2 linked regions of the Styela clava genome follow. The protein of the gene in region 2 purifies or fractionates together with the protein of the main gene of each other region. This does not show direct contact. Links are inferred from orthologs where the notes say so. Each region holds a gene or a part of one and is shown on either strand. Other genes may lie near its edges. The genes, in order: UBX domain-containing protein 4-like and ubiquitin conjugation factor E4 A-like.

Evidence for each region.
Region 1: the proteins of ubiquitin conjugation factor E4 A-like (region 2) and UBX domain-containing protein 4-like purify together in Homo sapiens (affinity purification with mass spectrometry; 3 studies listed by BioGRID and IntAct, counting the BioPlex papers as one, with this or other methods). This does not show direct contact. The link is inferred for Styela clava from reciprocal best matches to the Homo sapiens genes UBE4A and UBXN4.

What each region holds. Positions count from the first base shown.
Region 1 is NC_135251.1:29,720,394-29,729,790, forward strand, and holds the start of UBX domain-containing protein 4-like, read left to right. Parts: upstream 1-5,820; 5' UTR 5,821-5,840; intron 5,841-7,060; 5' UTR 7,061-7,093; coding exon 7,094-7,175; intron 7,176-7,583; coding exon 7,584-7,686; intron 7,687-8,415; coding exon 8,416-8,444; intron 8,445-8,899; coding exon 8,900-9,018; intron 9,019-9,335; coding exon 9,336-9,390; intron 9,391-9,397. UniProt on the Homo sapiens protein: Involved in endoplasmic reticulum-associated protein degradation (ERAD). Acts as a platform to recruit both UBQLN1 and VCP to the ER during ERAD.
Region 2 is NC_135263.1:10,183,142-10,191,856, reverse strand, and holds the start of ubiquitin conjugation factor E4 A-like, read left to right. Parts: upstream 1-4,522; 5' UTR 4,523-4,927; intron 4,928-4,965; 5' UTR 4,966-5,139; coding exon 5,140-8,382; 3' UTR 8,383-8,715.

The sequences.
Region 1 (9,397 bases), on a different chromosome or scaffold from region 2:
AAATAATTCGTGTTTTATGATGGATTTTTTTACATTCATTCTGTCATTGTATACGGAGTCACCAGCTGCATATGACAACAGAGGTGTTTTACGTTTGCCATGTGAATTCATTTTGCTTAATTTCAGGCTGGTACTAAGATCTTTTTTCACATAAATTGGATACCTATCATTGCTATTATCTAAACCAGTGTTTCCCAACCCGAGTCCGTGGTCTCAAATGAGTCCGCGGAGTGTTTGAATGAGTCCGCAACGAGCCAGAAATTCGTGCGAGCCGCAAACGTTTTGCGGAACTTAACTATCAGCCAATTTACGTTGGAATTTACATAAAACATAAAAAGCAAGTTTATTCGCATAACATTAATCGAGTCAATAATTACTGGTTACTGAGTAGGGCTGGGCATATATTCGAATATTCAACTATTAGAATAGCAATTTAATATTCGAAAATTTGGTAACAGGTGACGCGACAGGTCACTTGCACTTGTGCGCGTCGCTTAATCAAACGATTGGATTTCACAACTCACTCACGAATTTTCGACGAAAACACACAAGTCGGCACACGCGTCGATAGATGGTGGCAACCCGAATTTTCCAAATTGAAAGCGGCAATACAAAACACTAAAAATAAAACGGAGAACACCATAAATTTCGTTTTATGATGGTCCGCGACCGATGAAAAACGCTTTTTTAGACATTGCAAAACGCAAAATTTCGGGTGCTACGTAGTATACGTATACCAGGGCATCCTCCCTTAGGATTGTTTGCTTAACTGCCTCAACATTGATACGCCGTACAGTACTGGTAAGTGTTGTACGAACAGCTCAGATATGTGGAATTCACAAAAATAAAAATCGTAAGAAAATATAATCGGGCTCTTTACCACGCATTTTTGTGTCCACGGATTGTCATGATATTTTCTGAGTAGTATTGCTTTTATTTCGCCAACACAATCGCAGATTAAAATGATCACAATTAAATTAATAAAAAGTAAGGCGATGAATATTCATTTTTCATTTACTAATATATTTTGAATATATTTTTATTAAGTACTGAATCAAGTTGTACTTTCTGGAAATTTATAACAGATAGTGAGATTTTTCTAACAATGATAACAAATATGCAAGATCGCAAAAATATGTAACAAAACTAAATATAATCGGGCAATATAGTCTCACATTATTATGTTCACAGATTGCCGATTGGCATTTTGAAAAAGAAATGCTTTCACCTTGTCGTAAGTCGACGCAACCGCGAGTTACCATGATCACAACTAAATTAATATAGAAAGACATTGGATTGAATATTGCGCGAAAGAAAGCCAATTATACACCAAAAAAGTCGGCTCTTTTTAACGAACGCGTAATTGCGGCGAATTTCCGATTTTGAAATTCGTTACAATTCTGTTGTATTTGATTTTATTGCTTCTTTGCACAGGCGCAATAAACGCTCTTTGAGTCCGCAAAGATTTTCGCGGGTGGGAAAATAGTCCGCGACCAAAAAAGGTTGGGAAACGCTGATCTAAACAATGCTTCAACATGTATATATTTATACTTTTAGATATGCCAAAAAAATTTTGCATTATTTTGTCGAGTGTTTTTAAATTATTGATTTGTAATAAATAGCAATAACTTTTTTGCTACTGCAAAATCCACCACATTCATTGAGTGTTTGAATATTTCTCCTGGAACCGTTACATTTTATTAATTCTAATTTGTTTTATAAGGTATTCAAATTTTTGTTTCAAATAATACTTTGTCGAAGTGGCTGTTATACTTATATATATAAAACATACATGCTTAGATGATAGACAAGGCCCAAGCTCCAATTGTCGTAGGCAATTTATTTCAAAATACCGTAACTAAAATATAAATTTTTGCAGACTGCTCGAAACTCACTTTTGAAGAATGATTTGCTGTCACCAGATGGGGTTTTGGCATGAAAACACATCTAGAGGGAGTTTATGAAGATATGACTAAAAAACATTTGAAACAGCTATGTAAACTAACAGACCAACATGTTTAACTCAATAGCTTGATAAAAATGTCTGTTAATTAAATATTCAACACAGGTATAGCAAGGTATTGTGTTAGATATTTATTTATTGGATCTATCTCCTATTGAGCATTTAAATACTCGGAGCATAATTATTATTTCTAAAATTACCAACATTATTCAGGTCATTAATAACAGATAAACCATGGAAATTTTTCTTTCTAGGTTCTTCCTGCATCTGTTGCTGAGATTTTGGAAATGTCTGAATTTGAAGCAACTGCCAAGTATTGCAAACTGCAGAATATCTTTCTTGGCATATGCAGCGGCACTACTGACGTGGCATCCCTTAAAAACGGAAATCTACTCCCTCTGAAACATCTGGAAACAAAAGACTGCAGTGAATCAGCCAAAATTTCATAAATTATTTTACACACTAGAAGTCTACAACAGGTGATTAGCTCAAGGATTTTTTAACAAAATAAATGCTATACAGCTACATGCAATACATTTTGTACTCATATTTAAAAAAACAACAACATTTCATTGCTTCTCCAGCGTACGAAGGGCTCCAACTACTGGTACTTCCAACATGTGATATACCATATTACACCAAACATTTGTCAGACCCCTCTTTAAGTGTAAAATAAAAGTCTTCTCTATTGTTTTACTATATCATACATATAAATTTTTCGTGGCTTGAAACAATTTTTAGAGTTCGACCATCGGGACTATTATAAACTAACATTTGCCGGCTTCCGATCAGACCTGCTAGTGTTTTGGTCTAACTTGTAAATTAAAAATTTCAGACCCTCCCTCCCCCTTCAAAATCTTCAGCTATGCCCGTAGGCCCTCACCCTAAATATTGAATGAATTGCCAAAAGATTTTCAGTTTAAAAAATGCATATTTTGCAGGTCGCGGGGCTGAGAATCCATCGGTGCTCCAGTTGATTGAAAAGTAGCAAGGAAAAAGAAATAAATATGTAGCAATTTCCACGTAATAGAATCTAAATTGCCTTTTTATCCCAGCTAAGAACCACTCCCAAAGCCTTAAAAAACATCAATAGCACTATTAACATAACTCGATATCCAGAGTTTAATCACATTAGTAATTAAAATAATAATTTTTATTTCTATGGATTATTGAGAAAAAAACTTGGGTACTCCAGAAATACGTGTACCAAGATGACGGACAACGGAACATTGTATGTGTACCAGGTTAGGCCATACTTTTAGGTACAAATACTACGAAACTCACTTGGTTAGTCCCTGAACTCGTAATAGAACTAAAATAAAGAAAAGTTGGAATAAAAATTATGTCCTAACCCTAACGTGGTACACATACTACGTTCCGGTGTCTTCATTTTTTGGTACACATACTTCAGGAGTACGAAAACTTTACTGTAATCACATATATATATCTTAATCTTTGTTTTAGCTGATTTGTTTCTTCAATTGTTTTCGTATTCCACGAGTCCTATTGTTCATCTTGTTGTTATTATTTTGGCTACAGTACTCTGCGTATACATTTGCTCTAATTTTTGTAAATATACTTTTTCAAGTAGTGTTCTTACATCTTGACATTCAGTTACATTGTTTAATAGGTATTCGCTCATGAATGATTTGAAAATATTTTTCTTTTATATCAAGTGTCGGATGTTCAATGATGTGATGATGGAAATAAATTCCAGCCGCTTGCGTGTATTGAGGTAGCCCTTGTATAATCATTGACTCTTAAAAAGCTATTTATAGATTGATTTGATTAATTTCTTAAGCAGAGCCTTGTGTTTCTGGGTTGCAATGTGAAAGAAAATTGCTGCTTTACCTATGGATTCCAGATTATTGTCACATTCACAAAAGCTGTAGTGCGCAAATCACTGGCCCTTCGTTTCGTTTGACGCCGTTGTATTCTTTCTCATAATCATCACGGCAAATGTTTTTACGTTTACTCATTTTATCTCTCACGAAGTTCCAGATCTAAACTAAATTCAAATTTTAATTTACCGGTATATTCATTCATAAGGTTAAAAATAAGGACACACGTCAAAATAAAATTGTTTCTTAGAAATATGGACAAAAATATTTCCTAAAACAAAGACCTTTGAAATAAGGACAAATTCTAAAAATAAGGACGTTATGGCAGTCCTGATTATAGGTCAAGTGGAGAAAAAACTTCTGTAAAACCCACAATACTTGAGATGGAGTGAGACCAAAAGGCTTTGCTACTAAGCGTTTTTTTTACATAAAGTGCAAACTATTCATTTTTGTCACCACCAGTAGGCCTACATCTGACTGACATTTTTGCAATGCATCGCATTTTTGATGCCTTGCTCTCTTTCGACAAAGAAGTTATCACATCATCCTGGTCATTTGCATGACAGACTGTGTCTTCATTTTCACAATTATTTGTTCATTTTTATCAAAATCTCCATGTCCTTCAGCAAATATTTCGATCAGTCATCAATGAACAGGGCGAGTTTGCGAGCTGTGATACAGGAGCGTCGTCGTCGTTAAGCACCTTGTCAGAACCTAACTGATCGTGACGCCCGCCACTTGGAAGTGCAACATCGCCTTTGTTTGTTTATTATACGGCGAGCGGAGTTGGACATCTAGTAGTAGTATATATCAATGAGCATATACACAACCCAAAAAAGTTTGAAAACTCGTCGGATATCACTATAATATTTTTGTTGGAATATATTCCCATATAAGTCTTCTATCCAATGGTATATACAAATCTTTGCCGCCGAGAATGGAAAGATTTGAAATAATTCGATTTTTCGTGAAATAATTTAATTTTTCCATAGTCAATCATTTTCGAACCCCAAAGAGTCGAAAACTCGTCGAATGTCACAATATTTTTTTTATTGGAGTATGTTTCTATGTTAGTCTTCTATCAAATGGTATATCCAAATCTTTGCCCCCGATACCGGAAAGATTCGAAATAATTCGATTTTTTGTGGAAACATTAAATTTTTGCATAATTGCAGATTTTCGAACCCACATTTTGTTTGACCAGAAAACACCGCAATATGAAATTCGGGAATATAAGTTTGATATTTGGCTGACATGACAGTAGGCTATTTACTGAAACATACCGGTTACTTACCTATTATTTTTTCATCAATATTTTAGGCAGAAAGATTTTGAAAATATATAAAAGATATAAAAGAGGGTACCGGTAAGCATAAAACTATTTATAAAAAAATTGTTATTTCTATGACTGGGGATAGATTAATTTTTCTACACAATTGTAATTTAAATATTGCATGTGAGAATATTCATAATGATATTCTGGCAAACTATATGAAAACCTTTAATTTCAAGTTAATGTGGGATATTTTAACAGTAAAAACAAAATCTGGAATAAGAAATATTGCAGGAAATGATATGTGTGTGTTATGTCAGTATGTGGGAAAGAACCAGAATTTGTTAGCCATCTAGATGATCTAGGCTATTTATGAGTTTCGATGAATTTATGAATATTTTGATTATGTTTTTGATTTTATTGAAAATACTGTTAGGAAATTAAATAATGCCAGACTTTTGAAAAATTATGAAACTTGTGTTTTATTGGATTTGAGGTATTTCTGTATTTGTTACATTCCAACATTACAAGACGAGATTTAGATATTATTGTTTATTTAATTTCAATCACTAGATATAAAATATGGATACAAAGAAATTCTGGTATATTCGACGGTAGTCCCCCTAATCAGCACCTAGGTATCAAACAAATAAAAGCTGCAATCACTTACAGACTCAACATTGAAAAAAATAGAAAAACCCCCTACCGTAATTTTGTCAGAGAATTTGAAATACTAAGGAATCGTATTTGAACCATAAATCAAGTATGTATAAATTTAGTATGTATAAAAATGATTTTAATTCCTAATTGCTGCATATAGTTGGGTAGCATATTGCTCAAAGTTCAGAATCCACCCTTCTGCCCTTCCGCTCCAATCTAGGATAGGATAGGATTTACATTTTTATCCCGTGGGAGAGGAAAGCCGATAAGACGGCTTAACCATATGACGAATCACGGCCTCTCGTCCGGTTACCATTCCATGTCGGGTATGGGATTAGTTAGTTATTATTTTGAATATACAGATATATCTTTGTGTGTTGAATGTGGGTCAGTGGGTAAACTGGCGCATGTATTTTTACATGTAGGCCTATTAAACCTTTAAAAAGGTTTTCCCAATCTTTTGTGTGTTCATTGTTTGTGTATGATTTTTTTGCGGGGAAAATCTAAATATACCTATATTTATACCGGTACTTAGTTATATTTATACTTAGCTCGGCGATGTGGCGCATCGTGCTAAGTGTTAGGAATACGCTCGCCATCGCATCTCTGATTACCCTTCGTGGGTTTGAATCCCATGCGGGGATGATCATGTGCAGAGGATTGCTGGACTCCTCGCCGCCGCAGGGTGGTTCACGTACTGACGTAACCGCTGGTCTGTTACCGTACGGCTTCCTCCACCATCAAGTCCATGCTTCCGAAAACAAATAACTGGCTAACTAATCCCATACCCGACCTGGATTGGTAACCAGACGAGAGGCCGTGGTTTGCCATATGATTAAGCCGTCTTATCGGCTTTTCTCTCCCCTGGGATAAATATGTAAATCCTATCCTCCTAGTTATTTGTTTCCAGAAGCATGGACTTGATGGTGGAGGAAGCCGTAACCGAATGGCGGTTATGTGAACCACCCAACCGCGTGGAGGAGTCCAGCAATCCTCTCGCACAAATCTATACTCGCATGAGATTCGAACCTGCGAACCCACGCAGAATAATCAGAGATGTGGTGGCGAGCGTATTTCTAATGCTTAGCTCGATAAGCCACAATCTAGCCCTTATAACAACTGACTTATTCAATTCGGTACAGCAAGTCAGCAACACGACCAATATTTCCCATAAAACTCCATTGTTTCGCGTTTCCCAAATATGGCACGAGATGGCGTCCATCTGTCCATGAACTTGTTTAGCATTAGGCGAGTTGGTTGCCGTTCGTTGACCAAACCTAATCTACGAATCTCATTATTATAATTTCATTGTTCATAAACTAGCATACTACGGTATCATAACAGCAAAAAATCACCATGGTTTGGTACTCTGGAAGTATACCCGAAGCCATTGCAGAATCAAGGAAAAGCTCAAAGCTGTTTGTTGTATACATTACTGGTTAGTTCTGTAATCAATTTTACAATAATCTGCAGTAGTGTGTCTGTGTGTGCTGCCTCATTTCAATATTCTGTCACAACCTGCAGACCTGGCAAATTACAACTTGATCAATATACTGATAGGATACTGGGATAGGATTTACATATATTCCCCATAAAACTACATTGTTTCGCGTTTCCCAAATATGGCACGAAATGGTGTCCATCTGTCCATGAACTAGTTTAGCATTAGGCAAGTTGGGAAGACTAGTCTGCTAGTATTTGACTCTAGCAGTGTTTCAAATATCTATCAAGATTTTCAGAATAATAGATGTGCACAGCCCAACTTGTTTCGAAACGATTCTACATGAGAAACTTGAAAAAATTATTTTTAATGTATTTGTAAAATGTGTATATTTATAACTTCAAGGTGATGATGAAGAATCTAGTAGAATGGATGAAATGTGGAATAATGAAAGTGTCGAAAATATTTGCAAATCAATGTGTGTTACTCTTAAATTGAGTGCAGAGAGGTAATGAATGCTTTCATTTATTCAATATATATTTGAAACAAGCACATACTACATTTAATTTCATGTTAGTTTTAATACAGTTATTAATATTTAGGATATTGGGTCTAGTGTAGTTTCATACCTGAAGTATTTCTGCATATGTTAATCCTAACCCCCACCTGACTGTGTCGTCCAAAAATGACTTCACAGTGACGTAATATAGCCTTTCAAAATTACGAACTATCATCCAAGACGCGCAGACGATCACCCAAAATCAAGCAAGTTATTTCTCTCGTTTTCTCATCGCAACTATCCTCATATGTAAAGGTTTGCTGCCGTTAGTGATTTTTTTGTTGTCGGCGCAGATTCTATTTCGGGCGATCGTAGGTATACTTTGGCAACCTCTGTGATTTAATTTTTGAATGACGTAGTTAGGCGGGGGATAGGATTGACATGTGAAATTGGTATGTTACGCCCACTAGAAGTACTTAGGTTCGAAACTACACGAGACCCAGGATGTTTGCATTGCATTATATTGAACGAATATCACACATGACAGTGGCCTGTTTGAAGAAGTAAAATACAAAATTTATTTTGTTAGCATAATAACATACTATTATAAAAATTGTTTATAATAAACATACCATCATGATCTAACCCATTCAGTAGTTCGCAGTGTTCTATAGTCTACTGACTTTGTGAATAGATTGAATTTTCGAATTCATAAACAACTTTATTTTTTTTCTTTAGTGAGGGCTGCAAACAGTTTTCGGCAATTTGTATCCTTTTAATAAGCAAGTAATACAATTCAATGATACTATATATACGATTGATATGACTGACTGAAATTAGATGATCAACTGTTAAATTTCGACTGTTAACTGCCCAGATTGCCAGATTTTGTAATATGGGTTCAACTGAACTATTACTGTTCTGTAAAAAATTCCTGTAGTCTTTAATTTAAATATATATACAATCAATTCAATTCGAACTAAATCATTGTTGTCCATGAAAATGCTGCATTGAAATATGGATCAAAATGTATTGCTCATGATTGGAGCATAATCCCATGCCAACCTTTATGCTAATGTTGAACATTTTCATTTTTTCGGTATAAAATTCATCTGGTATATTTGCGAATGACAAATCAAATACAATTTTTATATCAATCACATTATGCTATTGTTCACTTATTACTAATTCCTGAACTGTATTTTAATTTAAATACTGAAAGATCCGGTATTAAAAGTACCAAGTGCACATTTTATTGATAATAGTGGTAAAGTATTAGAAGTGATTTATGCGCAGTCTTCACTTGATGATTTTGTACAGAACCTTCGGAATATTACCAAGGTATGAAATAAAACAATTTTCAAGTATTATGCTTTTATATTTTATATTGATTTAAGCTCAGATTATCAGATACATAAGGCAATAATGTTAATCTTTTCTCATAGCCTATTTAACAAATTTAGTGATAGTACACTCAATGTGATTTCCTTTGTTAAATTGGTAATATTGTGAATAATATTAACGATGATTGGAATAATTCAAAATAATATATTAATTATGTTGCATTTTTTGTTGTATTTGATTTCTCAGTTTATTTTTATAACTGAATAAGCCAATATGAGATTGAGATATTTACTATCTTACATTAATTCTTTTAGTTTGAGTCAAATGCAGCAAAAAGTTCATCAGAGGTTCAAGAGGAAGCTAATAGCGGTAACAT
Region 2 (8,715 bases):
TGTAGTCTCTATTCCACTCGGAACCAGTGCGGTTGGTACGGCTTTGATAAGCCCATTGGGAAAAATTAGAGGAAGGGGCCATGGACCTTTCCCCGACCTTTGACCCCCAGAAAATTCTCTCTATACTTTACCATTGCAAAATTTTCGGGGCTATTTTAAGAATGCTTTTGCGAGTTGGCGCCTGTAAAATGGGGTATGTGTTTCAAACCATCATTATGATTCATCGCATACAACAATCTGTTTTTTAAAAGTACCGGTAAAGAATTTCACGCTAGTCTATCACAGCTATTTCTACACTAATTTTTATTACTGCATTTGAATCAAAACTCCTAGGAAGACAGAGTGATCATTGAATTATCTGATTTATATTCAAGTTTCCGAAACACATTTGAAAACTAACGAATAAAGTTCAAAAACGCAAAAACGAGGTAATGTTTACAACCACGCTTGAAAATCTGTCTGAGTGAGAAAAGTGTCTGAGCGGATACGAAAATGGGGCATTGTTACGTCACGTTTTGCATCTTACTGATTGGCCAATGTCACGAAGTAAACAAGGAAGTCGATGCTCGGGGAAAGGTCCATAAAGGAGAGGCTGTGAAGAAGAAGAAACCTTTCCCCGAGCATCGACTACTTCCTCGTTTACTTCGTGACATTGGCCAATCAGCGAGATGCAAAAAGTGACGTAACAATGCTCCCTTTTCGCATCCGCTCAGACACTTTTTTCACTCAGATTTTCAAGCGTGGTCGTAAACATTACCTCGTTTTCGCGGTTTTTGAACTCTATTCGTTAGTTTTTTTGTGTTTCGGAAACTTAAATATAAACAGATAATTCAATGATCACTCTGTCTTCCAAGGAGTTTTAGTTTAATTGCAGTAATAAAAAAATTAGTGTAGAAATAGCTGTGATAGTGTGATAGACTAGGCCAGTAGGCCAGGGGTGGGCTATTATATATACGCTTTGGGGGTGGGCAAACCCTGGCACGCGTGCCAAACTTGGCACGCGAGCCCTCGGAAACGAGATCATTCTTTTTAAGATAAAAAGTTTCAAGACTCTGAATCTGATGAAACTCTATGTTCGTTTATTCATTATCGTTTGTTACTTGTTAGCAATCCGTTATTTATTCAAACTCTTTTTTGATTCTGACATGTGCGATGTCCGATGTACATACATCCTGATACCGGTACCGTACAGGCTGACAGGCATATGGTACCTAGCGAATGAGTGTTTAATAAATAATATTATGGAAGTTTAATGATCCTTTATTTATCCATATATTTACTGTAAAATTGAATGCAATTATTCTTTTGTTATCAATAGTGCGATATACAATTCAGCAATTTGGATCATGAAGAATGTTATCATATATGAAATTAAAAGACCTGATATTGCTCTCCTTAGAAAAGCAGATAAAAATGGCCCTAACCTAATGTATAGAAAAAATATAGAAAACTCCACAGTAGTAAACAAACCCTTTGGAAAGGAATTACAAAATTTATGCGAAGCGTTATATAAAATAGTAAATTATGCTCATGATAAGTTTTTTCCCCTTTTTTATTGTTTTATGTGATTGTAATTATTAAAATAACATAATTCTTATGGATAATTATCGCTGATGGAACAAACTGGAAAAATTATGAAACCTAATTTAACAACTGGATTATGAATGTAAACTGGACTATGAACTATATTTTGTACTTTTATTTATTTTACATATACTGTGAATTGTATTCTTACTTACGGTAATGTAGGAATCAAAAGTTGAGCTAAATGATTTCATTGATTATCCATTTCGTTCAGTTTTCATGTACGCGAGCTGCCGAGGCTGATTGCAGCACCATTTAAAATTATTACTGTCTTCCCAGAATAGTCTGACAGCACAACCAAGAAGGCATATTACATTATTATTGAAGTATTAGTTTAAAAATATTCTCCTTTAAATTAGTTGAATAAGGTCTATTGCAATGGTGGGCAAACCGCGTCTCGCCAGAGTTTTTATGCGGCTCTCCTCGCTAGCAATAATTATGATCCAAATTTAACTAAAAGAAGCTGTAGCGAAACAGTTTTTTTTTAATTGTTAAGCGGTTGAGGAAGTTTTTATCAATGATTAATACAAATTATGTTTTAGCATGAAAATGGTAGCGTGCAATTTGAAGTTAAATCAGTCAAACGACAAATATTACATCACAATGCTGCAATGATCAAATGAACGAATGATCAAAACTTGTTAGTAATGTTTATTATATTGTATGTTTACAGATGATATTCAAACTTAGTAAATGGAAAGCTAAATTGTTAAGAACATCACAATGCTGTCAAGCAAACTATGCCATGTTTCATTATTCTAGTTTATTGAGTCAAAATCATTATCAAATTTTGGGAATAAAACAAACAGCTACACAAAGCGAAGTCAAGCAAGCTTACTTCAAACTATGCAAGGAATATCATCCAGATAAGCATTCAAACAATAAAGTTAAAGCTCAACAATTCTTGAAGATAAGTGATGCCTATACTGTATTAAGTAATACAGTCACAAGAAAAGAGTATGATGATAAACTAGGTAGGCGTCGCTCTTTCGACACAGCACATGAACGTGAAGCCTGGTCATCTGCATATCGAAACAACCCTTATGTGAATAGACATCAGCATTGGGAATATTATCAAAGACCTCCCTATCGAGACCCTTATGATCGTTATACTAGAACACAGCGAAATGAATGGAGGCATGAAACGAACTACAATGAGCATTCTCGTGACAGACTAACTAATTATTGGTTTCATTATTATAGACAACAAGGTCACGGTGCTGGAAAAGTTAATTTAAACTCTAATCAAAACCCAGATGTTCTTATGAAAGTGTTTGTTATATGTATTTTGGGGTTACTTTCTTTTAGATTTTTTGTGGCTTTTAAAATCTCTCGTAACAGGACAGATATTGACAATTGGGAGGGAACAGAATTAATAAAACATAAGAAAATATTAAGGGAACCATCAGACTCTAATGAGCCACAAACAGCATTTTCTGGTAGTGTTAATATTGCGCATCCAAAATTAGAGGATGCCTAAGAGGGTTTATATGTTGAAATAGGTCGATGCTGTTTGTTAAAAATTAGGAAAATATTTCTTTCCTATTTAATAGATATGTCACATAGTTGAGATTTATTATTTAGAATCTCGAAAAATTTAAAAAAAAATTACTCTTTATTTTCGCCATGTAGCCTACTTCTGACTAGTAGCATTTGCTAATAATCTGAAAGTGAGTAATGATCAAATAAAGATATCCAATTATTTTATAAAATCAAAATCAAATTTTTTTGAATATTATACCTATTTAATTTATTTTTCAGTCTTTTCATACTAGACATATGAAAGAAATAGTGTTTGAATGAAGTTCAGTCTACGACCTATTTGTTTTTGCCATTTATGTAATGTTATCTCAAGGTGCTCCCACATTCAACTTGATGCAAATATTGCTGAAAAAAATATAAATATCTATTGCACTTGTTTTTTGTTTTTGATGATAAGATAAGAATTTTTGTATTTATGCCAAGAAAAATGGCAGTCAATAAGTGACAGCTTATTAATAATCATTCAACAAACCATGCCAATGGGTGACGACTGACGAGGAAGTCATGTTCAACCAGCCAGGGATGCCAAGAAGTCTGGCAGTTTTTTCAAACAAATAATGCCCCACAGAAGTAATCGATGTGACCATTAATAAATTATATTCTAGACTAGACTGTGAAGTTGATTAGCCAGTCCAATATACTGTCAAATGTATAATTATTTTCTCAGAAAGTATTTAAGTCTTTATATTAAATAAAGGCATTATGCATTAATGCCATGTCTTTTAATAGCGTCTTTAATGCATGTATGCAAGTCCGACCATATTTTCCAATTAGGGGCTTCTGTATAAGTCAGTGGAAAAGCCAAAGTCATTATGAAACATTGGATATACCAGAAGATTCAAATTTAGACCAAGTTAAAACTGCGTTCATTTCTAAGTCCAAAAAGTATCATCCTGATAAGAACTACGGTGATGAAGAAATGCATGCAAAGTTTGTAAAACTGAATGAAGCATATACTGTTCTTTCTGATCCAAACCTGAGGTCTGCATATAATTTTGAATTGATGAAAAAAAGCAGGATGTACTCATCTCCTTTAATACAGAGGTCAAAGGATTATAAAAGCCCATATCGGAAAAATAGGGATGATTCAACAGATTGGAGTGATTTTTATAGTACTTATGGCGGTGGAAAAGCATACAGAGACATGAAAGCTGAATCTGACTCTGAATTTTGGACACAATATTGGGAGAATACAAAAAAATTTGGAGGGGGTGAGATGCAAGAAGGGATGAGCCCTCCCCCCAAATCAACAATTGGAACAGAATTGGTCGTTATTTCGGGAGTATTATTCGCAGTTTATGTATGGGGGATGTATATCCTATCTGGCAGGGAGCCGCATAATGCTGACAGCTTTAATTCTGAACATGAAAAATGGTTACTGGCACGTCAGAAAAAATGATGCCATTTTTAAATTTTTTGGATAAGGCCATTGTTCAGTTCAGCACTATTTGCCACCTCTATTTCTTTATATATGAATTCTAGTCCATGCATCTCACAATTGACTGTTAACTATTTCTGTATCAGAGATTCAGACCTTAAGAATTGATAAAGAATGAACAAGCAATATGTTTCAAGTTGTATTGTTGCACTGTAAAGTAACAGCTCATTTTGAAATACTGTCTTTCTTCAGTTTTCAGTTGACATGGCCGAAAGGCCATGGACAGCGACATAGTTAAATGGTGTTACCGAATTAAAAAATCCTGTTGTATAGGCAAATTCATGATCTATTTTTGAAATGGAACAGAACCTTACTTCAGTGTTATTTTTGACCCATTGTACTATGATTTGCTTCAAAAGTCTTGTGATTTGTTCTTATGATCTTATTATGTCGATTATAAGGAAAATGTTCTACTCTAAGAAACTAAGGTGTATGAATTTTACAAAACTATCTTCCCACCATTATATATTATATTGAAATAAATTGCGGAACTATTTATGATTATTGCCAATCTTTATTTCTTTTTTAATGAATAGCCCCTGTTAGTTATTATTATACTGTAATATAAAAATAGCATGGATAATAGAGCAAGCAGTAGTAATGCTGAAATGCAAAGCAACCCATTTGCAGCTTTACTAGCTAATTCTTGCAATGAACCTATGGAGGTTCCAAAACTATCAACTCAAACTGATTCACATATTGATGAAAGCGGAATTGATTTGCCGGGACAAGTCATCGAAAGCGAAAAAGAATCTCAAGATGTCACTCAAATGACTTTTCCAAGTGAATTATCGAACTCAAAGTTGAACCAACATAAAAATGATTTAGCGGAAAGAATTTTTCTTTTGACTGATAATCAGCACCTTAATACCAGTGAGGAAGTGAAAAGAGATTTGCCTTCTTTCTGCGTTTTACTGGATAATGATGAAAGTGGTCCATTGCATGAAACAGTCGAACAGCTCATCTTCAACCGTCTTTTGTTAATAGACCCTGAAAAATCTCTCGTGAAGCGATCAGAAGAACATAATGAAACTACAGAAAAGGAGGCAAAAGAGGATCGTCCTCTTGTTTATTTATTGCAATCTTTCAACAGATTAATGCATGAAGAAAAATATATTCCACCAAATCTTTTATCGACAATATCATTTTATCGTCAACTGATTGTTCGAAATATATCAACTGCGTTTATTAGCCCAGAATTATTTATGGAAATTGGAAAAGAAAAAGGAATGGTTCACCAACAGTTTTATAATATGCTTGTATCGAATGATTGTTCGGATCCCACAAGCCCTCCTAGACTTTGCTTGTATAGTGTTGCTGATTATTTCTCAATGAATGAGCCTGATCTGATGGAAGCCGCTTTTGCACCATTGCTGGAAGTTCTTGCAAATGATCTCGGCCTTGATGATTTATTAGATGCCGGATTACACGTTCATCTTGCTGTTTTGTCAACGTTCGCTGAGCATCCTGGCTTAGCAGTTGTTACTTTGAATCATGATGCTAAAATAGATGGAAAGTTGGTTATGGAAGGAACACAAAAGAAAAGTTTTCTTGACATTTTATTCGGAAAGTCGTGTCTTGTTCCAGATCCACAAACAAAAGCGTATTTGTTTTTTGAAGATGTTGCGAGGATGGGTCCAACTGAGGTCGAAAATGAGGAATATCATCTTCAGAATAAAACAGATGGGTTCCATTCTCAACTGTTTTCTATTATTAGACAGTTTCTGAAACACAAGTCTACCCGTTCTAAGACTTTGCAGTGGTTTGGTAATACCATTGCTCATCATGGTTATCTTGCAAAAATGTGGTCGCACGAACACGTCGATGTTTTTATGGATGTGTTTGGTCCAGATGCGACACAACTTAATATTAGCAGCGTATTACTTCGTCTTTGTTTGCCCTTTTGCTCAGAAAAAACTGTTGTAAAAGGTATTGAAGAGGGGTCCTCGAAATCAACACCTCCCAAGTTTTTAAAAATTAATTCATCATATATTGATGTCACGGGACAGCCTGATGCCCATGCCAAGGGTGTACATGGCGTTCAATTACACAAGGATACCCGGTTGCAATCAACTGAAGACAATACACCAGCGCCAGTAACTATAGCTGACTCGTATAATTTTATCACAGAGTGCTTTTTCTTAACACACCGTTCAATTTATCTCAGTGTCCATGGCCTTATCAAAAAATTTTATAAGTTGAATCGAAGTTTAAATCGTGATGAAGATGTTTATCGTCAGATTCGTGCTTCTGGACAAGATCCAAATGGACACGCAGCTCTTGTTGTCAAAAGGTTCGAGACGGGTATGCGTAATTATTTGAGTATAAAAGGAGTGTTAACTGAGCCCGCTTTTCTCAAAGCGTGCATTCGACTTCATGGTACAACAGCACAATACTTGAATCATATTGCCATGTCAGACAACAATGATACACTGGCACGAGTTGTTCTACCCCTTCCTGAGGGCGAAACTGTGCCTAAAGGTCTTTACTGCATTCCTGAATATGTTGTGGAAAACCTTACCGATATGCTATTGTTTATTTGGAGGTTCGATCGTTCATCGGCGCACTTGTTTAACCCATTTATCCATGACATTCTTCTTGTTATTACGATTTACATGGGAAATAAAAGTAGAATGTCAAATCCACATTTGCGTGCCTCTCTTGCTGAAGTGTTACCAATTGTAATGCCTTTATCTGAAGATGATAATTCAAAAAGCAACAAAGAAGAAATTTTCAATGCTTTCCCACATTCTCCATTTTTAACTGTTGCTACTCTTCAGCTTTTTGTCGACATAGAGTTTACTGGCGATCCAAATCAATTTGAGCAAAAGTTTCACTATAGGCAACCCTTGTATCAAATCCTAAAATATCTATGGCAGAAGAAATCTTGTAATGACATGATCAAGAAGCATGTAAGATTGGCTATCAGTAATATTGATGAGGTTTCGCATCCTTTGTTTTTGCAATTTACGAACCTGCTTCTCAATGATTCTATTTATTTATTGGATGAAGCCATGGGGTTCTTGACACAAATAAAAGGCCTTGAACGTGAGAAAGCAGCAGGCGAATGGGAAGAATTGAATCAACAGGAAAAAATGCAAAAAGAAGGGGAGTTGAGACAGTTAGGAATGCTGGCAAAATATCACAATTTATTATCAAATGACACTTTAGACACCTTGGTTTATCTCACAGAAGCCAAAGAAGTCAAAGAACTTTTTAGTCATCCATCTCTGGCTGATAGAGTAGCTGCCATGCTTGATGACTTTTTGTTAAAATTAGTTGGGCCGAAAATGGGTGCGCTAAGGGTACGAGATCTTTCCAAATACCAGTTCAAACCAAAAGTACTTGTAGTGGACTTATGCCAAATATATGTCCACCTTTGCGTAAAAGATGATTTTTGCCATGCTATATCAAAAGATGGTAGGTCATATTCTAATAAGTTATTTCCAATGGCCTGTCAAGTTCTTAGACGTATCGGTAATGAAGAGTTACGACAGAAAATGATGGAAATATCTGAACGCGTCAAACTCTTTAGCAGTCAAGAGGAGGAAGAAGAAGAGATGTTTATGGATGCTCCTGATGAATTTTTTGATGCCTTAATGTCAACATTAATGCGTGATCCTGTGACTTTACCAACATCAAAACAGGTTGTAGACAGATCTACTATATCAAGACATCTGATGAGTGATCCCACTGACCCATTTAACAGATCTTCTCTTACAATGCAAGATGTTATCCCAAACACAGAGTTGAAAAATAAAATCACGCTCTGGATTGAAGAGAAGAGGAAGAAAAAACTTGATGAATCTGATAGCTAGTTCCAATACCATATTTTATGGCTACTGCCGCTATGCAATTGTGTTGTGTGTATAATTTTCCTTTATCCATGGTAGGTGGTGACTCAATCATACAGTGAACTGGGTCAAGTATAAGATTGTACAAATTCAATTCGCTGAAATATAGGATTCGCTTATGTATATTTGTACAAATTGCTGTACAATGATGGGAATATACCAAACAATCGACATCGACCGTTTATACCTGAACCATCATCAAATTATGTAAATAATATTTAGAAAGTATACATTCATTCTCATCTTCTTTAAATATAGTCATTCTGAAGTTTCACAGTGTTGTATGTATCATGGTAT